Linked DNA regions of Diceros bicornis minor. The protein of the gene in region 1 purifies or fractionates together with the protein of each later gene. This does not show direct contact. Links are inferred from orthologs where the notes say so. Each region holds a gene or a part of one and is shown in the gene's direction. Other genes may lie near its edges. The genes, in order: MICALL2 and RAB8A.

Region 1 (12,001 bases):
GAGGGCCGAGGGCCAAGGGAGGCGCAAGCAGCCTGGGGCCCTGGGTTTCTCCACGAGGGCTCCCCGGGGCGCATGCCCCCATGTTCATCCTGGCAGGGCTGGCCTACGGCCCCTTTCACAGCTGGTAATGAGGCCAGACAGTTGCCCACAGTCACACAGGGTGGAGCTGCTTAGGGGTCCTGGGCCAGGACCCCCCCCCTTCCCCCTATTCCTTCCTCGGAGCAGCGTCACGCTCTGACCCAGTTAGGCCAGGCCTGGCGGGTGGGGTCATTTCAAGTGTCTTGGCAGGGGAGGCTGTGGCTTGAGGCCACCTCCAGGGCCTGCCACCTCTCTCCTCCTTGGAGAAGTGACCTGTTAGGAAAGCTCTAGGGGGGCTGGCAGGCAGAGCTAGAAGTCTAGTTATAGAGCCCTCTCATGGTCCAGACCCCATCCCAGCGCCAGGCCCCGGCTGGGCCCCCAGGGCATCAGAGTTCAGATCCCACTGGGCCTGTGCCTGGGGGAGTCGGGAAGGGCTGTTCAGAGCAAGTGAAATGTCAAGTGGGTCTTGAAGGACTAGGAGTTCCCCAGGTGGGGACTCTCCCCCTCATCAACCTACCTTTGGAGGCCCAGGGCTCTCGCCTGCTGTCCCGTGTAGGTGGTGAGCCCACAGCCCTGGTTTCTTGCCTGTGCCCTCCTCGTATAAAGTCTGGCCTGGAGGGGACTGTGGGGCTCCATGGGAAGCAAGGGTAGGCCTGGCACATGGTGGGGCTCCGTGGGACTTTGTCCAGTGAATGGTGTGGTCCCAGCTGCTCCAGGTAAGGAGAGCAGACCCCAAGAGGAAGATTGGGGGAGCAGGCCCCTCAGTAAGGTTTGGTTCCTCCCCACCTGCCCACACGCAGGGAGAGGAGTGGGGTTAGGGCAGGACTTCTGGCTGCAGAGCCCAGGGCCCCACTGGCCCCTCTGGTGGAGGGAGCAGCTGCTGACTGCCACACGTCTGGGCTGCCGCTACCGTCCCCAGCCTCCTGTGGGCCTCCTGAGGACACAGAGCTGGATCTGAGGGGCCGCTGGGTCCCCAAGACCCCTCGGGCCCGTTCACCCCCCATCAGCATTACAGACGGTATTCCAGGTGCCCACAGCCAAAATTCCAGCCCAGAGAGCCACTGCGATGGCAAAGCATGCGGCTGCAGGAGCCAAGGGGCTGCCGGGTCAGAGGCCAGAGTGCGGGTGCACCAGCCCAGGCCCGCACCCGCCCTGGGTCTCCCCATCCCAGGGCCCCCACCCAGATCCTCCTCGTCTGAGTCCCCCACCCCGAGTCCTCTCACCCTGAATTGTTGTCTGAGTTCCACTCCCTGGAGTCCTCCAGTCCTGCTCCTTTGAGGGGCGGGGCAGCCTCATCTGACCTCTGGCCCCCAGCCCTGGGCCAGGTAACACAGAGGCACAGACAGACACCCCTGGGCTCTAATGCCACTCAGCAGGCCCTGGATATGGCCTTGTACAAGTCACTCCCTCTCCCAGCCTGTTTCCACATCTGTAAATGGGCACGAAAGTGATGCCTAAGTCCCAGGGTGGCTGTAAGCAGCACCTGACACACAGAAAGGGCTCGACAAAGGGCATCTGTCACTGTGACCTGTTTTGTGAACAGAGAGGTGCTGTGATCTGGTCCAAGACACACAGAGATCAGAGGCAGGGCCGGGCTTCCGTCCGCCCTGGTCCTGCTGCCTGGCCACCCCCGCCAGCCCCTGCATGCTCTGTTTACCAGGAGCCGGGAGGGCCAGGCCCCATTACAAGGGGCTCCTATAAGTGGCGTGAGGAGGATTAATAATGTATTTTTAACACATCGTCGTAGTAGCTGAAAATGATCTATAAATGTGCGGTAAATGTTTTATAATGTTTTTGTAACCCGTTATAAATGATAAATGGCAGACTATAGATGCTGAATCAAATATTTATAATGCATTGTGTGCGACGTTGGGCTGTTACAGTTCAGGAAAGCCATTAATAATAAAGTGGATGGAAATGTAAAAGTTACCGACATGCCCAGCAAAGCCATTTATAATGAAATGTAAAATTTGGCTGTTGGAAGCAACCCACGAGCCCCAGCTGAAGCCCCGGCCAGGTTCTGGAGCCCGGGAGAGGAGCAGGGTCGTGAATTATTTGTGAGGTGTTCAGACGAGGACGTATACTATCCATAGCACACCATATAAATATGCTATTAATATACTGAGGTGGCATGCATTATTCATCGGGCCTAATTAATGGGCAGCCCCTTAAAATGGGGTGTTGCAGTGTCCAGCTCCCTCTCCTGCCTAGGGCCGAAGGGATGGCGTTGGCATCCACGGACACCCAAGTGAGCCACTGGCTGACCTGACTGTGGCCTTGGGAAGTGGGGGAGGAGGGGACATCCCTTGGACGTTCTGCTGTGAGGCCAGTGTGACCCTCCAACCATCCTTCCTGTGCAGACGGTGAGGGGGCTGGCATCCACTCCAGGGGGCTCTGTTCACCTCTCCCCCTGAGCATCCATCTCTTACAACCATGATTGCTACCGTGGGTTGGGCAGGGAGCTGTGTGCCCACAGGTCAGCCCTGGTGCCATCCTCCCTAAACACCCGGGGATGAGAGGCCCCATGTTACTGTGAAGATGAGGAGGCTCGGAGAAGTGAGGAGCCTTCTGTAGGGTCACAGGGCCAGCCAGTGTCTGAGCGGGCATTCCTACTCAGGCTGCTGGTCTGACTCCTAGCTGTGCCTTTGTGCCAGCCAGGGCTCCCAGTTCTATTCCACGGGACTCACATCTTGTGAGACGCTCCTGCAGTGGAGGTTCTTCAGGGAAGTCGGTTTGGGAACTGCTGTGCAGTGCGGCCATTCCCTTGGGAGTCACAGAACACATCAAGAGATGGAGGCTCTGAGAAGTCCCACAGGAAAGGCTGCACGGGCCAGGGCACCTCTCTTTGTTTTTTCTCTCGCCCCCCAATTCCCTCCCTCCTGGTTCCTCCCTCTGCCTCAGAGGCTCAAGGCACTGCCAGGTCTGCTGCGTTTGGGCGAGCAACCCCGATTCTCTTCGGACTTGGTCCAGCAGCCTCAGTCCAATCAGTTACTGGGGGCTGAATCCACCAGTTGAAAGGTCTACCGACCCCACCCCACCACGCCAAAGTCCCTACCCGGTCCCCACCATGGAGACCCTCCTGGGGTGCAGTAGCCATGGCGTCCTCCAGGAGCCAAGCTGACGTGCAGCTGGAGCCAGCGTTTTGGATGAAAGTTGGTGATGGCTCTGGCCCTGTCCCTCCCTGGGTCCCCAGCCCTGTCCCTGCCAGCCCGAAGGGCTGAGGCCTCCCCTTCCTCCCAGGGAGGGCCCCTCCATCATTACCAAGAGGTCAGACACGTGCTGGAGGCAGGAGGTGGGGAAATTGAGAACGTCCAGCCTGGAAGTCCTGTCCCAGCCCAGGTGGCCACTCAGCAGGCAATAGCCTGAGCTGACCCAGGCTCCTTGGGCCCACCTGCCCCCCTGCCCCGCTGCTGGGCTGGGCGGGTGGGCCCCCCTGTCTCTCGGAACTTGTTTCTCCGGCTGCAAAACAGGTAGGGTCAACCCACTTTTAAAGGGTGGCTGTAAGGACTAACCGAGAAAATGGGCGTGAGAATTGATAGAAGAGGCTGGAGTAGGGCCCTGGTGGGGCCTGCCCCCTCCTCTCTGCTCCTCTGCTGCGGCTGCACTAGCCTCTCACTCCTGTCTGTGCCGTCGTTCCCCTGCGGGGCCTCTGCCTGCGCCACGCTCTCTGCTGGGGAGATCCTTCCCTTTCCTCTGATGAGTTAATCCCCATTCTCCCTTCAGATCTCAGTGCTCATGTCCCCTCCCCAGGGACGCTATCTCCGGCCTTTTGCACCAAGACAGGGGTTCCTCTTTTACCATCGAGTGGCACTGAGTCCCCTTGGAGGGCTGTCACAGGTGCAATTTTGCATCTGTGTGTGTGTACCAGCCAGGGTGAGACCCTAGCTAGCTGCTGTAACAAACAAACCCAAAGTTCCAGCAAGCGAACCCAGCTCACATTTATTTCTCGCTCACCCACAGGCCAGCACAGCTGTTCCTGGTCAGCGGTGGCCACCTGCCTGACCCTGCAGTGTCCAAGCTCCTCCATCTGTAGCCCCATCATCTGGTAGGTCCTTTGCACCCAGCCAGCAGACTAGGGAAGATGGAGAGTCTGGAGGTGCACACATCACCTCCATCAGCCAGAACTCAGTCACATGGCCCCCAAGGGAGGCTGCAAGGGAGGCGGGAAAACTTGGTCAAGGCAGAGAAAACAGTGAGTGTAAAGGCCCTGAGGCAGAAACATAAGCATGTCCGAGGGGCAGTTGTAGGAGGGAGGTAGGAGAGGTAAGGAGTGTGGGGAGGGTTGGACGGCCCATTATAAGGACTGTGCTTTCCTCCTGAGGGTGATGGGCCCAGAGGAGGGGTGTGAGCAGGGGGTGGCAGGTTGTCACTCCCACTGTTAAAGATTTTGTGTTGAGAACAGAGTGGGTGGCAAGGCAGAAGCAGAGGCACGGTTAGAAGGGTCCTGTGGAGATCCAGGCTCACCCCTGGTGGTGGCTGTGGAGGTGGCCAGTGGTCAGTTTCCTGTGGGACTGGATGTGGGCAGTGAGAGGACAGGAGGCTTTTGGCCTGAGCAACTGGCCAGGTGGAGTCCCCATCAGCAACTGTGTGGCCGGCTGCGGATGGGGCTGGTTTGGGGTCGTGGAGGACGCAGGGGACCAGCGGGGCGGGGACTCTGAGGCCAGAAGGGGCAGGGCAGGCAGGGAGGGTGAGGCCAGGGTGTGGCAGGTGCAATAAGGGGTGGGAGGTGTGATAAGGAGCCTGGACTTTATTCAGAGTGCAAAGCAGGGAAGGGCTGGACCAATTGGCTTTCTAGAAAGATCCCTCAGCTGCTGGGGAGAGGTAGACCATAGTGGCCGGAGTGCAGGAGGGAGCCTAAGGGGACTGGCACAGCGGTCAGGGGCGAGGTGACGGTGGCCTGGACGGGAGGGTGGCAGTGGGGAGAAGTGGGTGGACTGGGTGTGTCCTGGCTTGGGGGTCCCTGGAGAGGAGCCGAGCTGACAGAAGGACATGCTGTGTGTGAGGTGCTAGGGGGAAACCACCATACGTGCTGTGCTGCCTCCCAAGTCACTGTCCCCAGAGGAGGCCGCATGGTGACCGGTGGGCAAGAGTGCAGCTTAAACTCCTAAGCATCAGAGCTCCAGCCACCTCCCACTTCCTTCCCAGGGAAGTGGGTCTCCAGCCCTGTCCACCCTCGTCCACTCTCTTCCCCCACCACTACTTCTTGGCCTTTCCCTTCCTCACCGGCTTTTCCAGTTCTCCTAACTGCTGCCCTGGGGGTCAAGAAAGCCCGGTTGGTTCCTGGTTCCGGGACGAGCCACCAGCCTGGCTGAACTGGAATGACATCACCCTTTGTCCTCTGGCTGGGAACCCCCAGCAGATCAGGGCAGCAGCCGTGGCCAGCGGTCATCCCAGGTCAAAGGGAATCCCTGTCTAGCACCTGTTTGCACGCGCCCTGCGACGGGGAGCTCACTACCTCCGCACAGGCCTCACTCACTCTTGGGTAGCTGGGCATCCACACCTCAGGATCCAGCCACAGGAAACAGCTGGAATGCCACGTGCTGGCTCTGGGCTGGAAGACTTTAGTTTCTGCTCCTTCAAGTGGGTGCAGAGAAGCTGCCCTGTCTCCCTGCCAGGGGCTGTTCTTGGGAAAACACCTTCCCTCTTTCCCTAGGGCCTTGTCTGGACAAGCCCTGGGGCCAGGTGGCCAGGCAGGGGGACCATCTCACATTTCTGGTGTCAGTGTCTCTGTCCAGGTGGCCACAGATAGAGTTCCACAAGAAGAATGTGGAGGGGACCAGCCCTGGGGTAACTGAGGGCCCCACAAGAGGTACTTTTCCTTAATGATGTGTGTCACAGATGCTCAAAGTGGAAAACTGGGAAACAGAACAGATCACCAAGACCCCTGAGGGGTCTCCTGCCCCAGGAGGACCCTTCCCTCCCCTCCCCATCCTATGGGCCACGCCAGGCAGGGCAGTGCAGCGCCCAGCCTCAGTTGTCCCTTCTGTAAATCGGGTAGTGATCCCTGCCTTGCCTGCCACTCCTCCAGCATGAGAACCCCGATGGGAAAGTCCTCTGAAAACCCAGAAATGCCAGGGGTGTTCCTGCCGTGCTGGGGGTTGGGGGAGCCTCCGGAGAGGCCACGGCTGCCCAGGGCCACAGGCAGGCCGGGGTCTATCTCCACCATTTCTTAGCCACGTGACCCCGAGCAAGCCTCAGTTTCCCCGTGTGTAAAGTAGCGTTGTCTTCCACCTCTCCATGACAGGGGTGGGGGGGTGGGGGGGGGAATGCGGGTGAGGGACGTTGAAAACAGACAATGCCAAAGCCTCCCGGGAGCAGTGGAGGGGGGGACCCCAGGCTGGGCGCCGCCCCTTCCCCTGCCTCGGGGCTGCGAGGGGAGGGAGGTGGGGAAGGGCGGGGCCTTGGCGGATGGGCGCGGCTTCACGGAGCTCAGCCTGGCCTGGGGCGGGGCTGTGATCTATCCGAGGACGGGGTCTGTTTGGGGGCGGGGCCTGGGCCAATGGCTCTGTCCAGGGAGGGGGCCTGAAGTGGGTGGGGCTTGCGGGGCGGGGCCGTGGTCCGGGGCGGGGAGGCCTGGCGGGGCGGGGGCGGGTTCTTTTCGGGGGAGGAGCCTGGAGGGGAGGAGGCGGGCTCTGTTTTGAGGCCAGCCACGGTCTGGCCGCAGCGGAGTCTGTTTGGGGACAGGGCCTGGAGGGGGCAGGGCCGTGGGTGGTCGGGCGGGGCCACGGTCTGGCGGGGTCTGGCTCTGCCTGGGGGCGGGGCCTGGCTGTAGCGAGTTCTGCCCAGGGGCGGGGCCTGGCTGCGCGGGCTCTGCCTGGGGGCGGGGCTCTGTCCGGGGGCGCGGCCTAGAGGGGGCGGGGCCTGGCGGGCGGACTCGGGCCGGCTCTCGCCGGCTGCGCGGCAGCTGCTGCTCGTCTTCCACGGGGCGCTGCCGCCGGGCGTCGGTCCCCTTGTCCTCCCGGGCTCGGGCTGGGTTCGCCCTCCGGGATCGGCGGGTCTGCGGTCCGCGCGAGCGTCCGTCCAGGGCGGCCGGGCCGCGGCTCGGGGAAGAGCGGTGGGAGCGCGGTGCGCCGGGCGCCGCTGCCCGCATGGCGGCCATCCAGGCGCTGCAGCAGTGGTGCCGGCAACAGTGTGAGGGCTACCGGGACGTGAGCATCACCAACATGACCACGTCGTTCCGCGACGGCCTGGCCTTCTGCGCTATCCTGCACCGCCACCGGCCCGACCTCATGTGAGTGCCCTCGCCGCGCCCCGACCCCGCGGGGAAACTGAGGCCAGACCGCTCCGGGCCGGGGGAGTGGGCACCGAGTCAGACCTCCGGGACCGCGGCCCTGGGGGGACGACCTCGGGCCGAGCAGAACCGGGTCCGCAGGTGCAACCCATTGTGGCCCCTGCAGGCTACCCCATGGCCTCAGTTTGCCTGTCCACCAAGTGGGGCTGGGCCGGAGCCAGGACGTCCGGCCACCCCCGCTGGCTTAGTCAGTCCGTGACTCAGGCCAGCGTCCTGGGCTCTGGCCACAGCCACCCATCCCCCTCCGTCTCCCTAGGAAACGGCCGGCAGAGCTGCCTTTCTGGGTCTTCTGCGATCCCCACTGTCCTGGGACCTGCCCACTGGATTGGGGGGGGGCTTCATGTGTGGAGCTGCGCCTCCCCCAGCTTGTCCAGGCAGCTTTAGGAACGCAGCCCAGGGTCACTATGGGGGAGGGGCCAACACAGAGCAGGAAGCCTGAGACCCCCCAGGTCCTGTCAGCCAGGCCTCCATACCTTAGGGTGATGGGGGATGAGATGGAGGCTGGGCCCGGATCCCTGGGAGCCGTGGAAAGTGGGCAGCGGAGGGGGTTAGGTCATTTATCCCTGTGGAGGGTCTTGGAGTCTTGGCTGGGACGCTGGCCCTGCCTTGCCAGATCTTGTCCCCACCCTGGACCCGCTCCAGCCGTTGTTCACTCAGCAAACACTCTTTGCTGTGACTGGGACCGGGCTTGCTGGGACAGAGCTCTGTGCAGGGAGGCCCCGGCCCCAAGCCCCGTGTGAACTTGAGATGGGGAAAGCTGCAGGGAAGAGTGCTGGGGCTGGGTGGGCGGAGGCTCAGGAAGGGTGTCCTTGGAGGGCCACCTGTAGCCCAGGCGCCTTCTAGAGAAAGCGTGGTGTTGACAAGCTTTCTCCTGAGAAGTGGCGGCTGGACCTGGGGTCGGTAGGGGTGCGCTTGCTAGGGAGGTCTTGGGGCTGGGAGAGGCCAGAGGGGGCACCTTCTAGATACTGACCAGTCAGGCCTTTTGCTGTACAGAGGGGGAAGCTGAGGCCCGGAGAGGAGACACCGTTGTTCAGGTCACAGCACACGTCAGGCACAGCCAGGGCTGGCTCTTGGGGCACCTCCCCTGCACCCAGATGTCCCTTGCATCCTCAGGGACTGTCCCCAAGCACCCCTCTGTGCGAGAAAGCTAGCCTTGAGAAAGAGGCCTGCAGGTATTTCCTCTTCCTGCCTGAGGTTGGGAAATGCATGTTTGGGGCTCCGTGGGGAGTCCTCGTGTGGTATCTGGGCAGCAGCTTCTGCTCCCCACACAGGGATGTGCCTCAGTCGCCCTTAGAGGCAGAAGACCGGGGCAGAAGATGCTTCCACGTTGAAACCCGAAGCTGAGCCTTGATGGGGGTGGGCTGGGGATGTGGAAACTGGGAGAGGGACCAGGAGTGGAGGTTGGCAGGCTGAGCCCCATGGGGGTGAATGCGGGGGCCCTGGTAAGGCTGGCTGGGGACCGAGCCCCACGGGGGTGCATGCAGGGGCCCGGGTAAGGCTGGCTGGGGACCTAGCCCAGGCAGCCTGGGTGGGGTCAGCATAAGTTTGCGATTGGAGGGAAAGATGATGCCGCTGTCTGTCAGTGCAGCAGCCTCAGGACGACGGCACAGGTAGAACTGAAGATTTGGGGCTTTTCCGAGCCCCCGGAGCTTGCATGTGCTCCCAGCTGTGCTGAGACCAGAGGCCTGGGTGTGTGTGTGCGCCTGTCCCAGCACGCACTGACGCGGTGAGCACAGGCGTGCACATATGGGTGTGTACACGTGCTGGCACAAGCAGGCATCCTATTGCCGTTCATGTAACCGTTATTGAGCACCTGCTGTCTACTCAGCACTGCGTAGTGTACAAGATGGACTTGGCCCTTGCCTCAGGGAGTGACGTTTTAGTCACAGAGACAGACAGTGCACAGATGAGTGAGTAAAAGCTCAAGGTAGCTCCAGAGGGTGTGAGGGCTGGGACAGGGAGGAAGAGGAGGCTGCCCGCCTGCCCGCAGTGACGTGTGAACATCCAGTTATCTTATTTACTGCTGACTCGGTTATCGTCTCGTCCGTCTGCCCACACTGGACCTTCAGCTCCAGAAGGGTGGGAATGTAGCTCTCTGTGTTGTCCACTGCTGGATCCCCAGTGCCTGGAACTGTGCCTGGCACAGGACAGGCACTCAGTAGAGATCAGCACGGAGTTGGAGTTCTATAGATGAGGTCGTGCACTTGGGGCTCAGTAGATGTGGTAGGAGTTCGGTAGCTGTCATTGCAAAGGGCTCTTCAGGTGCACAAGTGCCGTAGGGAGGAGGAGGAGGAGGCCTTGTGACTATGGAGGCAGAGGCTAGAGTGATGCTGCGGCCACGAGCCCAGGAACACCTGGAGTCACCGGAAGCCGGAGGGGCAAGGAATAGCATCTCCCGCAGAGGCTCTGGAGGGAGTGTGGCCCTGCCGACACCTTGATGTCAGGCTTCTGGCCCCCAGAGCTGGGAGGGAATAATGTCCGTGGTTTTAAGCCGCCTGGTCTGTGGTCATTTGTCACGGCAGCAGCAGAAAACGAGCACAGCCTTGGATACATGCCTCTGCCCCAGTGGTGAAGGACCTGCGGGGTGGCTGTCATTTCGGGGGAGCCCCCCAATTCCCCATCCTGGTAAGACCCTCTGGCAGCAGGAAAGTGGACATCCTGTCTCCACGTGCCCCAGCTTTGCCACCAGGAATTGCTTCCCTTGTCTCATCTCGATCCTTCCTGCTGCATGCGGCTCCGTTTCCTCTTGGCGGTGTGCGGGGAGCAGCTGCGAAGGAGCAGACTGGGCGCTGAGCCGGCCAGGTCGGGGCACAGGTTGCCTGACGCTACTTCCTGGTTCCGTCTCCGCCGCCCCATGTGGCCCTGCTCCCGGGGGCACGTGTGACCTGCGCTGGTGGCCCCCTGGGGACCCTGGGAAGTGAATCTCCGCTGGAGGTCGGGAGATGGGCTCACCCAGCGATGCCTGGCCGAGAGGTCAGCCTGCCGCGCCCACCATGCCCACCGTGCCTGCAGCTGCAGGTTTTCTGCAGGTTTTCTCAAGGGTCTGTTTCCCGGTGACGCCACGTCTGCTGAGCAGCCAGGTGAGCTCAGGAACCGCCCAGAACAAACAGCCCCTCCTGCCTCCCTGGGCAGTCAGCCTGTCAGGGCTGGAGCCGCTCCTTCCCCTTCCGGCCTGATCTGCCGGGACTGAGGTTCCAGGGGAGGAGCCCGGAGGAGGGCTGGCTTCCTGGCTGCCTTCTCCAGGGACAACGGAGGCCGGGCCATTGTGGGAGTTGTGGCTGGGCCAGGGGAGGGTGTCAGGAAATGGGGGTTCTGCTGCATATTTGCTGCTCTCCTCGCTCAGTCCTGTGGTGCAGTGACCTGTCCTTTTCTTCCAGCTCAGGGGCCGATGGCGGGGCCCGGGCCAGGAACAGGGGCGTCTCCCTGACCGCCCTCTGAGACGCGCCCATTGTGGGGGGTCAGGAGAGACTCACTCCAGAGGGCCCCCGCCCAGAAGCTTGGAGGCAGCCCTGTTCCCTGGGCTGGAGCAGAGGGTGGGGTGGGCCTGGGCGGCGAGGCTGACCTCCCCTCCCACGCCAGCCTCGCGGTCAGCAGGAAGCCGCCTGGGGACAGAGGCCTTCTGTTCTCTGGCCTGAGGTCCTGCTGCCCAGGCCCAGCTGCCGCCTTCCGGTGGAAAGGGGCCGCCAGCCCACCTCCCTGGGGCAGCCCAGGGCCCAGCGCCCCTGTGATGCCCCCCCAGGCCACCCCAGAAGCCCCCGGGCTGACCCCTCCTGGCTGGGCCCTGCTCTGAGGCCGGGGTGGGGGTCAGAGTCTGTTCCAGCCTGCGGAGGCCGGCAGCTGGGCAGCCGAGACCGAGGCGTCTCATTTGCCCACGAGAAGGTTGGGGCCTTGGGATGCGGCGCCAGCACCTCTTCTCCCTGCCTTGGGCCCCCGGCATCTCCTCATGGCCCGTTCCGCACCCAGCGCCATCCGCCCTTTCCCAAGGGCTTCCTGTGTGTCTGCCGGGGTGTGTCTTTCCTTGGAACCCCTCTCTCTGGACCTGTGGCCTCTCCTGTCTCATCTCTGGGCTTTTCGGTACCATTTCTCCCTTCTGTGTCTCAGCCTTTCTCCGTCGGTCTGTCTGTCTGTCGCCCTCTCCCGCAGGCGGGAGTGACTCCAGATGTGCTGGAGGTGCCTACAGCGCTCCCCCACCCCACCGTCAGCCCCCCTCCAGGCCCAGCGCCCACCCCCCACGGGGCGCATTCTGTTCCAGGAAATAAACAGCATGAGGTCAGCTCTCCAGGAATTTGGAAGGGGGTCCACATTCCCAAGAGCCCCTGAGGAGCTGGGCAGGAGGCTGGCTGCTTCAATGATCTGAGGTCCATGGTCCTGGTCAGCTGTGGCTGGTGAGGCAGGCAGGAGGCCGTGCCTCAGGCTCTCCCAGCCAGGCCAGGCGCCGGCCGGGGCTGCGCACACGTTGGCACCGAGCAGACAGTGGACGGGTGAACAGTCGCACAATGGACATATAGACCCAATGAGTTCATTCACCCGGCCAAGGTTGATAGGATGAACAAATGCCACAAAGGTCCCCTGGCTCGGCCAGCATTGGATGAATTAATTCATCAACAAGCATTTACAGAGCGCCAGCTGTGT
Region 2 (11,451 bases), on another chromosome or scaffold:
ATCTCAGACCTAATAACAAAGTAGATGCCAGGGAATCCAAGTGGCAAGGTGAAAGGAGGTCAGGATTTGAAGTCGGAAGATCTGGGTTTGGATTCTAGCTCTGCCACTTTAGCTGTGCAGCCTTGAACAAGCTACCTAGCTTTTCTGCAAAATAAAGGTGATACTTCAGCGACTGCAAGGATTAAAAGAGATAATTGAGAAATTGGCTCACGTATAGTAGACACTCAGTTACCACGTGTTCATCCAGACGGGACAGGCCCAGGTCACTGTTCTCTCTCCGAAGGAACCCTCCCAGATCATAGTCACCTGATTTTTAAGTGCCTCATCAAATGAAAGGTTCACTAGTTGTAGTTGAAAGGCTGCCATTTTTGCAGTCTCTTTTTTTTCTTTCTGAAAATTTCCAAGCTGATCCTATCACATTTTATGAGGCATTTTTGCTTTCCTCCAGTATTTTAATGAGTCTTGGCCTAGTCCCTTATCGGCCATTGCTCATTGCAAACCAGTTCTCTCTCGTGCTCTGTCATGCATAGCTCTAAATGGCATCTTACTTTTTTTTTTAATCTATTTCAGCAGCTCAATCACTTAATAACATACCCGTATGTAAATTTCAGCCACGTTGCATTTACTTGGGTTTGACTACATTGCTATGGACACACAAACACAATAACACAGTAATGCCTGGAATTTAAACAGCCATTCCCAGAAACTCTAAAGGAAAGATGGGTTACAGGATTATATTTTTCTACCAAAGGCTAATTGACTGGCACTAGGAGGAAAATGTATTAAGTCACCCATAACTAGGATTAATATCTTATGTTTGTGTAGCACTTCATAAGTTCTAAAGCACTTCCCATTTGTTCCTCATAATAACCCCTATACCACACATTGGTATTGTTATCCCCATTTGACAGATGGGGAAACTGAGGCCTAGAAAGGTTAAATGGCTTACTTTGGTGGCAAAACTGGGGCTTAAATCCAGGTGTTCTGACTCTAGGATTGTCAGATTTATTAGCAAATTAAAATTAAATTTAGCAAATTAAAATACAGAACACCCAGTTAAATCTGAAAGGGAATGAATAAATTTTTGATATATCATGCAATATTTTGGGAAATACTTATGCTAAAAACTTCTCTCTTGTTTATCTGAAATTCAAATTTGTATTTTATCTTGCAACCCTATCCAAATCCCTGATTTGGTACTTGATCTCTATTATTCTATGGTACTCTGCTATAATTAAAATGCAAAGTACCTTCTCTGCTATGACTTTAATTCTGACAGTTGGGAGTTTAGAAACCTTTTTTTTTTTTTTTAATAAAGATGCTTATTAATTTATTTTTCCCCACTCTTAATCCTCACCAGAAAAACTTGCCCAGGCCAAAGAAGAGAACGTGGGCTTACATCAGACACTGGATCAGACACTAAATGAACTTAACTGTATATAACCAAGACAGAAGAGTCTTATTCCAACAGAAACTCCAGAGCTCCGTGTCTTTCTCTTCTCTTGTAAAAAGTTTGTTATTGCATCTTTGCTTTGCTGGAAATGTCAAGCAAATTATGAATACATGACCAAATATTTTGTATCAGAGAAGCTTTGAGCACCACTTAAATCTAATTCCTTCCTTTTTTTCAAATGGCACCAGCTTTTTCAGCTCCATTTTTATCCTTAAGTTGCATTTATTCCTAAGGTAGGCAGGGTATTTCGTATTGAGCATACTCTTAAGACTGAGGGCATTTGGTTCCTGGGAGAATAGACAACCCCACACTTTCAGAACACAGACTCCAATATCTAGTCATGGGTCAATTTAAAAGGCTGAAGGATGTAACCTTCTGTACCAGCATTGGTCACACTACAGGAAGCAAGGGACCATCACATTAAAATGGGTGGGGAGTTTCCATCCAGAGCAAAAACAAAAAAACCGGGGGGGGGCTATTGTGGGAAGTCATAAAGCACAGATAGATTAACCTAATCATCTTCTTTTCCACACTCCACTGTGCAGAACAAACATCCTCTGAGCAGTCAGCACGAGAATGCTCAGGAAATGGTCATAATTACCCCAGTATTTTCTGGATAGATCTTTGATGTTATGCTGTTTTATGTGTTTTATTCTAAAGTTGTTCTGAGGAGCAGATGTCTAACTCCAATAATGACCCATGCTTGTCTGCTCTGATATGAGGCCATCCACTCAGCAGGAATGAATATGGTAGAATTCAGTCCTATTCAGAGAAGCCATATCAAAAAGACTGCTAGCCATCAATAATTGAGCAAGAGTGTTTTTCTGTTAACAAATACTGGGCAGAAGTAGAGAATAAAAAAAAACTGGCCTAACTTCATCTCCTCTATACTTAAGGGAATGACAAATTGAAGATTTACTTATCTAGGACTTTAATTCCTTCTTTAGGACCAAGTTAATAAAAGACCAAGAAGCTCCTGATTAAACTGGATATGGAGTATTTTGTAGACAGGGGTGCACATTTTGGCTTTGTTATATTTCTGCTTTCTCAGTTAACATCTCAGAGCTGAAACATTCCACATTCCCCAGCAATGTGGGGGCCAACTCAAGTTTACAATTCTGACTAAAAATCACCCTGCTTCTAGCTTATCCAAATCCTCTGCCCCTCACTCCTATTTATTAAGCATCACACTACCCAGGAGGTACACTAGCAAACTGTGCAACTGAATAAAACCCACACTTTTCATTTAGATTCTTGCAACTGTATCATATGTAATAGTATCACTTTTTCTACATTTTGGTCAAATAAATTTTTACATAAACTACAATTTGTGTGAATTTTGGAGTGTGGGGACATACACACCATTTTGGTTCAATGAATGTTAATGGGATGGAAAGGACAGATAACTGCCAAGAACTTAGCAAATGTTATTTATTTGCTTTATACCATGACTTCAAGATATAAGGATTATGATCTCTATGTTACAGGTGAGAGCACTTTGTCTCAGTAACTCAAAAGCTCCTGTTATCCCCAATCTTGCCTGGGCCAGGCTGTGCAGAGTAAGATTTTAATAGATGAGACAGGGGCAGGAAAGATGGTCCCTGTTGAGTCCATAAAGCACAAGGCCTGCCTGGGTAAGGTCTTCTGTATGTTGCATATAAAAAGGAAAGCAGTAGGAAAGCTGAAAGGTAGGCTGCATCTATAATGATGCGGGCCTGAACTTGACTGCGTTAGAAGTGGAGAGCCACTGAAGACTAATCAATAAATCAAAGAAATACATTAGGAAAATCCACTTAGCATTTTCAGGAAGGACTAGAGTAGGGGCAGACTAGAGGTTGGAAGACCAGTTAGGAAGATGTTTCAATTAATCAGGATAGTGCTTGCCATAGAATAAGAAGGAAGAAGTGATCTGAAGGAAGTAATCTTAAAACTTAGCTGACTGGATGGCAGGGAACTTAAAGAAGCAAGTGTCAAAGCGGACTGCAGTTTCACTACCTGAATTGCTTTGATATTTGCCTCAGGATCTGATCTTGGGGAAGGGGGACAGGGAATCAAAAAGAAACGAAAGCCTTTAAAACATTAGTGTAGTATGCAAGCAATTTTTTGTTACCAACTACAATTAAAAACATTTCCTTCATATTTCCTTCATACTCAACACTTGGCTGACACTGTTGAGCTGGCAGATGCAGGGAACGTCAATGAATAAGGTGTAACCCCTCCCGAGTGCCCTACCATGACTAGATTGAAGTTCCTTCTCTCCCTCCTCCGCACCCCCCGGACGGTAGTCTAATCTCAGGATACCGTTTGTCACCCTCGTGCCTCACTCCTTAACGTGTGCTCCGTGCCTGTTGACCTGGCCTCGGCTCTTGCGGCGTTCGCAACGCCGTGAGGTGAGGTGGAGCGCAGCGGGCGGCGAGCGCCCGGTGGTGCGGACTTGGTGCTGCCACCAGGCCGCGGATGGGTCCTGGGTGCGTGTTTTAGAACGGCCACACTGCAGGGTGGAATCTGGATTAAAGAATGATCCGGATTAGGGAGACCAGTGGAGAGAGGCGACCACTGATGGGAAACGGAAATACAAGACCCGGATTCGAGAGCTATTCAGAACCTCCTTCAGACCCAGGATGTGAGGGACGAAAGGAAGCGTCCAGGACGACTCAGGATTCGCTCCGAAGCTACCTCAGGACAAGCTGGAGCGCGCAGGAGAGGACAAGTTCCGTCGCGGACATGCTGACAAACCCAAAGGCAGACGCCCAGAGGGCAGGGGGTGACGAGGCTGCGTCGCGTCCTCCGGGGACCGGCACTCACAGCGAGACGCCGAAGCCACGCCGAGAGCGGGCACGCACGTCCGCACAGCCCAGCAGAGGAGGGCCGCCAGCTAGGCACGAGCGGAGAGCCCGACCGCCTCGGCGGCACCTGAGGAGCAGCCCCAGGCCAGGGGGCGGGGAAGCCGGCCGGTAAGACGCGAGGGCACCAGCAGAGAGGGTGCCGGCCGCGCGGCCCGCAGTCCGAGGACCACCGGAGCCGGAGGGGCGCAAGGGGCACGGCGGCGGCCGGGCCGTCCTGCGGACACCCCCGTGACCCACGGCGGCGCGGCCACAGCCCATCCCCGAGAAGCGGGAAGCCGTGGTGGTCGAGCCCGCGGCCGCCGGCTCGTCGGCCTGAGTTCAGAAGCCGGCTTCCCCCTTGCGGGGCCGGGGAAGGCCCGCGCCTGCCGGCCCGGCTTTCTCCCCACACACCCGGGCGGCACCTCCCGCCTCGGGGCCGGGCGCGGAGGAAACGCCCGCGCGTGCGCTGTGAGGGCGACAGCGCCGGCGGCCCGGAGCCGACGCTCACAAGCGCGACCTGACTCCCTCGCGGGCTCCCAGCCCCGGCCCTCAGGCGGCTGACCGGGCGGCGGCGGGCGAGGCCCGGGAGACAGGAGGCCGAGAGAGGCCCGGACAGCCGCTAATGCAGTCAAGGCGCGTCCTTAGGAGCCCTGCGCACCTCCGGGCGCAGCTCGCGGCGGTGAGGCCGCTCAGGCGGTGGAGGCCCGGCTATCTCGGAGTAGGTCGCCTGGCCAGCGCCGAAATGGCAGAGCACGTCTCGGGGAGTCCTCGCTTCGACTCTGACGAGCGTCCGTACGTTCCTCTGCTCTTTGGCTCCCAGCGGCCTGACGCGGAGGGCCGCAAAGCACAGATTACAGCCGCCGTCTCTTCCCGCGCTCGTCCCGTCGCCTACTGAGACTGCGCGGGCCGTGAGGGCGGGAGCCAGAGACCCATGCGCGTGCGCCCTCTGCTGGCGCCTAACGATCTCCTCAGCGCGCGTGCGCACGCGCCCCAGGCCCCGCCCGTGGGCTGCGAGCGCGCGGAGCCGTTGGCGACGCACCCCCCACCCCTCCCGTCAGGGGACGGGGCGGGGCCGCCCAGAGTCCGGGAGGCGGGGACACGGGGGTGCCACGGCCCCGCCCTGATCCCCATTTGAAGCCCCTCGACTCGTCACCGCTGGCCAATCGCAGCCCGCCCTGTACCGAGCGCCAGCCAATGAGCGGCGTGCTCGGGCCGCTTCCGGCCCCGCGCCCCAGTCGCCCCTTCCCCAGCTCTGCTGGCGACGGGCGGGGCGCGGGGGCGGGCGTCAGCCGCAGTGACGCGCGACGGGCCGGGAGCCAATGGGGGGCGGGCTCCGCGCTGATGGACGGGGCCAGCGGCCAGTGGCCAGGCACTGGCCGCACTTCCCGTTGGGGAGAGAGTGTAATATGGCGAAGACCTACGATTACCTCTTCAAGCTGCTGCTGATCGGGGACTCGGGGGTGGGGAAGACCTGTGTCCTGTTCCGCTTCTCCGAGGACGCCTTCAACTCCACCTTCATCTCCACCATAGGTAGCGGGGCCGGCGAGCGGCCGGGCGCGCCCCTGACGGGCTGGGGTTGAGGGAGCGGCCGGGCCGGACTGACTGAGGGCTCTGAGAGGGTCGAGGGGGCCGGCGGGGAGAAGAGTGGCGCCTCCACCGCCGTTCGGGGGTTCCCGGGCCATGGGGAGGGCCGGGTGTCCATTTAGAGAGGCTGAGGCCTCGACCCCCAGCCCGCTTGTCTGGGAGCGTATGTCCTGGGCTGGGGTCTTGGCGCCCGTCATCTCCTGTCGTCGCAGAGGCCCTCGAAGCGGTTCTTTGGGGTCTTAACAGAAGTGGAAACTGAGGCGCGGAGAGTTGGCCATGGGAAAAGGACCGTGACATCTGACTTTGTCGAGCATTTATTGTCTGCATATCACACTCTCCAGGCCTCTGTGTTAGCTGCTGTTAGGAGCCCATCTCACGGAGGAGGAGTTTGAGGCTCGGGGAGGGCACGGGACTCGCCCAAGGTCACACAGTGTGCAGGTGACAAGGATGAGATTTGAACCCAGGTGTGTCTGACCCCAAAACTCAAGGTTCAACCATCCCAGAGAGATGCGAGCACTCACCCCCAGGTCAAGCACAGCTGATCCCCCTCGGAGCCAGGACTCCAACCTAGACTTCCCCTGCTCTTTCCTCTGGAATATTCAGGAGTTGAGCCCCTCCCCCTGACTCTGTTTCCCCTGTGGCTGAATTTCCTCTAGAAGGAATGGTGAGAGGGAGTCCTGACCCTTTTCCTGCCCAGCCTTCTGACCCAGTCAAGGTGACAGCAATGGCAAGTGACAGCTGCCTGCCCGTCATCCCCAAGGAGATGCCGGATTAAAGCTTCAGGGAGAAACTAAAATCAGCCAGTGCCACAGACAACCCTGACTTCCCTATCTCGAGGCCCAGGACACCGGTTGTCACTTTGCAGAACAGCCTTTCCCGCAGGGCCAGCCCACATTGTGGTTGAACAGAATTGGCTTACCACTCCTTGGTTCTGACGTCCACAAAAGTGGAGCTGACTTCGCCCCCTGCCACAAAAACTGCCACTGCCTACTTGGAAAGGTTTGATCTGGGGGTAACATCAGTCACAGAGTGGCCTGTGAGCCTCACTCTGGAGTGGGGAAGTGAGACAATGGTCGCCAAGCTCAGGAGTTGATCTCAAATGGAGAAAACCTAGGGAAGGGGCTTTGCTTTACCCCCGTGTAACTTGAACCCAATCGCCTTATCTCCCTGAACCCCACGATGAGCTGCTGATTCCGTCTTTGCTCTCCTCCGGAAGCGCACTTTGCAAAACACTTAGGTGCCAAATGCTGAGAAAATTAGACTGGAAATCATCATGCCTGATTTCCAGCCACCACTTGCCGTTGAACAAGCACTTGACTTCTCTGAGCCCTGTTTCTTTGGTTTAAGTGTGGTGCTTTCTGCCTTGACCAGTGCTCTGGATGGTTGAGGATCAGAACTGTACAATGACTAGGGGCTTTGTCACCACTGCCAGAGGCTGTCTAGAGGAAGCAGAATGGCTCCTGTAATGACAGCAGCCCTCCCCTGGGCACAGGTGTTTCAAATTCCTCCCCTTCCCCCACTCCAAGGTCAAACTTTGGGATAACCTTTGCATCCCCACCAGTCAAGAAGATGTTAACTCCTGGCAGGTTGTGGCTCTCTCCCAACCCAGACCTCAGTTTCCCGGCGTCGGAAATTTCTTGCTCAGCAAGAGCATTAGTGAGATCAATTTGGGAGTTGGGGTTTTTCTTTGGTTTCAAATTCTTGACCAGAAAACCCAGTCTAGCGCTTTAGGGCTCCAAGGAAGCTGGCTTCCATTTGCAGGCGAAGACGTGACTTGGGCGAGGTCGCATAGGGAGGTGAAGGTGAACTTGACCCAGGATTCTTCTCATTAGATATGTAGCTTCCTGCAGGCCTCTGTCTTCTAGGAAAGTTTAAATCACTCAGACCTTGAAGTTATGGCCTCATAATTCTTAGGCCCCATAAAATTTATACTTCCTAATTAAATTTGGTGTGTTAATATAACCCAGGAGGAGGATAGGGCAGAGTGATGCCGTGGAGCTCTGCCAATTGAACAGTACTTCTTGATTTCGTATGTCTCTGTGCATCTGTGACAGGAGGTGGGTAAAGAGACCACACTGGGCCGCTTAGTCCTGAAATACAACTTAATGCATAAAGGCGATTCTCTGTTGGCACTGAGTGTACCTCCAGGTTTTCTTTATAGATTTGGGATTAAGTGCCTGTTCATTTTCTGCCCAGGTTTCATTTTGCCAAAGCCTGTTCTCATAAGCTGCATTGATCATTAGTGGTGTGAACTTGGCCCTGTGGCTCCCTGGAATTGGTTCTGCCTAGCCTGGCTCTGCCCCCACTGCCCCTCAGGGCCTCATTTATTCATTCCTTAAGGAGATGGATGATGTAAACTGTGCGGCACCACGAAGACCCCGATGCACTTAATTCTTTCATTCAGCTGTCTTTCCCCAACGCCTCCTGCGAACCAGGCATCCGCCTCCGTGCGGGGGTTGCAGAGATGACTCGGATAAATCAGAGGGAAGCAGAAATGTAATGAGGTCTGTGCTCAAGGTGTGTGTGCAGGGCGATTGGCTTCTAGCAAATGTGTATTCAGCCCCTGCCCATGCTTAGTCATTGGAGATGCTGCCCAGAGTAAGAAGTGGGAGTCCCTGCCCTCGAGGAGCTTATTTCTAGTGGGCAGAATCCAAGTGCAGGCTTATGTTCCCTGTGGTCCCCAGGACAGCTCCTAGGTGGGCAGGGCTGGAATTAGCATCTCCATCATGGCCTGAGCCTCAAGTCAGAGATTGAGAACAAACTCCCCATGCCAAAGGCTAGGTTTGGCTATTTCCCCTCCACGCAGGCCATTCGCATCATTCCCCTCCACGCAGGCCATTCGCATCAGCAAGTTTTACTCTTGGGTTCATGGAGCAAAGAAACAAATATACGATGTCGGGGATAAGTGCATGAAGAAGAAAAAGCAAGTGAGGGGAGAGAGAATGCAGATGGTCAGGAAGGCTCCCCTGAGGAGGCAACTTGAACAGAGACCTGAGTGAAGGGAGTGGGGAGCCAGGTGGCCATGGAAAGAAAGAACATTCCAAGAGAGAAGAGAGAGCAAGCGTAAAAGCCCTGAGGCCAGAATGGGTTTGGGATCTTTAGGAATCAGCTATGAGGGGGGCATGAGCCATGGGTGCTGAGAGGTGACCAGGTTAGGCAGGACCTTGGAGCACACTGGCAACTATTTTCACTGTATTTGGGGGCCGAGGAGGCAGTGGGAAGCCACTGGAAGGTGTTTTGGGGTTTTTTGATAGTTATATTGAGATATAATTCACCTACCATACAACTCACCTACTTAAAGTGTACAATTTGGTATATTCACAGAGTTGTACAATTATCACCACAGTCAATTCTAGAACATTTTCATTATTCCAAAAAGAAACCCCAAACTCTGTAGTCACCCCGCCTGCCAATCTCCCCATTCCCTCCACAGCCCCTGGCAACCACTAATCTCCTTTCTGTCTCTCTGGATTTGCCTGTTCTAGACATTTCATATGAGTGGAATCATACAGTATGTGGTCTTTTGTGTCTGGTTTCTCTCACTGAGCACAATGTTTTTGAGGTTCATCCATGTTGTAGCGTGTGTCAGAGCTTCATTCCGTTTTATGGCTGAGTAATATTCCCTTGTATGGATATACCACATTTTGTTTAACCACATTTTGTTTATCTATTGGTCTGTTGGTGAACACACTGGAAGGTTTGGAGCAGGGGTTAGCTTTGTAACATGGTTGAATTTGTGTTTTTGAAAGCTGGGGAGGTGACTGAGGGGGCAACAGTGGGAGCCTGGAGAGCAGCCAAGGAGGCCAAGAGGTCGCCCTCATCCTGAGGAAAGGGAACTAAAGCCCGTGGGTGGGAGAGAAGGAGGGCAGGATCAGGAAGGCTTCTTGGGGGCTGACCTTCTAGCAGATCTTAAAGGAGAAGGGGAAGTTTGCCAGGCTGATGGGCGGGTGGAGTGGGGCCCCTGGCAGAGAAGGACCAGCATGTGTGAAAACTGGAGACCCATGTGTATCATAGTGCATTGAGGGGCCCAGTGCACCGTGTGCTTGGAGGGCCAGGTGCAGGGTGGCGGGAATCGTGGGTCTGTGACCTGCCAAGGGCTCTGTTGGGCCCACTCGGCAAGCTACCTGTGGGGGAGGGAAGAGAGCAAGGCTTTGGCACCTGAGCTGCTCAGGTTTGCCCAGCAGCTCTGCCAGCTGCCAGCTTCGCTCTGAGAAGCTCCTGTCCCCCTTGGAGCCTCAGCTTCCCCTTCCATGAGGGGAGCAAGTTCTGCAGCTGCCTCCACATTCGTTGTGGGGATTCCGAGATTCCACGCGCACATCACCGGGTAGGTGCTCCCTAAGCCGTGGCTGCTGTTCCCTGCACAGGTTGGCAGTGCCTGCCTCAGAGGCAGCTTGGGAAATGGGCTGACAGTAATGTGCCTCTTTTTTCTTTTCTTTAAGGAATTGACTTTAAAATTAGGACCATAGAGCTCGATGGCAAGAGAATTAAACTGCAGATATGGTAAGAGTCGCTGTCTTCATCAGCCCCTTCGCCTGGCAAGCACTTCAAGTCAGAAGCCCCTGGTGCCCCCTCCCCCTGCCCTGTGACCATGGCCTCCATCTCTTTGTGCCCAGCCAGACACATCAGGCTTTCTTCAGAAGCCCCAGGAGCTGTACTCTTCTGGTTGCTGGGGCCCAGAGTCTGTTCCAGCACCTTCTGGGGACATAGCTACAATCCCGCTTAGCTCAGCATTCTGATGTGGGCACAGCCTGGGCTTCAGAGCAGCCTGCCTCCATTGAACTCGGAGAGAGCCCTCTGTGGCTGGCGGAGGTGAAGGCTGCCAGGATGATGAGATGCCCCAGCCGGGCTTTGTTTCTGAGACTGTCAGCTTGCTGAAGAAGGCCTGATATCGCTTCCTCTTTTCTCTCCCGGGGAAGCCCAGGCCTCACTTCCTAGTGCGCAGCCCTGAAACCCCATAACCAAAAATAAGCTGAGACCACGCCTGGTAATGAGGCCTGTTTCCATTCCGCTCACCTGGGGCTGACTTCCCGTGCCATGTAGAGTTAGAGAAGCTGTGAGTTCCCGTCACTGACGCTGACTGTGGGCTGCTGACCACTGCACTAGGAACACTGAGCTCAGATGGTCAGGTGTCAGGGAGTCCCGCCCTGTAGCCACATCACTTGCAGGGAAGCACAAGGCCCGTGCAAAATAAAGAGAAGCCACATTTGGGAGGGCGGCACGGTCCCTCCATTCCAGGCAGGTGCTGGTGGGTGGGAGGGAGCCCGTGAGATGCGCTGTGAGATGGCTGTCCTCCCTGCAGCCCACTGGCCTCCTCAAGTCTCGGCGTGACCGTCACCCCACTTGCCGCGTGGGTCCCCTCCACTTCAGTGGTGTTCACCTCTGAATCTGACTTCAGAATTGAAATGTGAATGAGGCCTGACGCCTTGTCAGTCCTACACAGCTCAGTAGTCAGTCTGTCTGCGTTGTAAGTTACGAGCCATGGAAGTTCCTCGCCTCCAAATATGTTGTAGCCTCAGTGCCCAAGTCCAGAGTGGCACTGTGTTAGCAAGCGGAAGCTTCGCTTTCCCATCCTCCCGTTTTCCTGCTTCT

Evidence for each region.
Region 2: the proteins of MICALL2 (region 1) and RAB8A purify together in Homo sapiens (co-immunoprecipitation; 3 studies listed by BioGRID and IntAct, with this or other methods). This does not show direct contact. The link is inferred for Diceros bicornis minor from reciprocal best matches to the Homo sapiens genes MICALL2 and RAB8A.

The regions. Positions count from the first base shown.
Region 1 is NC_080765.1:13,064,886-13,076,886, forward strand, and holds the start of MICALL2 (MICAL-like protein 2), read left to right. Parts: upstream 1-7,166; coding exon 7,167-7,309; intron 7,310-12,001. Other genes in the region: basic proline-rich protein-like, read right to left, coding at 6,508-6,689, 6,805-7,168. UniProt on the Homo sapiens protein: Effector of small Rab GTPases which is involved in junctional complexes assembly through the regulation of cell adhesion molecules transport to the plasma membrane and actin cytoskeleton reorganization.
Region 2 is NC_080759.1:4,349,164-4,360,614, forward strand, and holds the start of RAB8A (ras-related protein Rab-8A), read left to right. Parts: upstream 1-5,649; 5' UTR 5,650-5,684; coding exon 5,685-5,808; intron 5,809-10,301; coding exon 10,302-10,362; intron 10,363-11,451. Other genes in the region: TPM4 (tropomyosin alpha-4 chain), read left to right, coding at 1,361-1,443. UniProt on the Homo sapiens protein: The small GTPases Rab are key regulators of intracellular membrane trafficking, from the formation of transport vesicles to their fusion with membranes.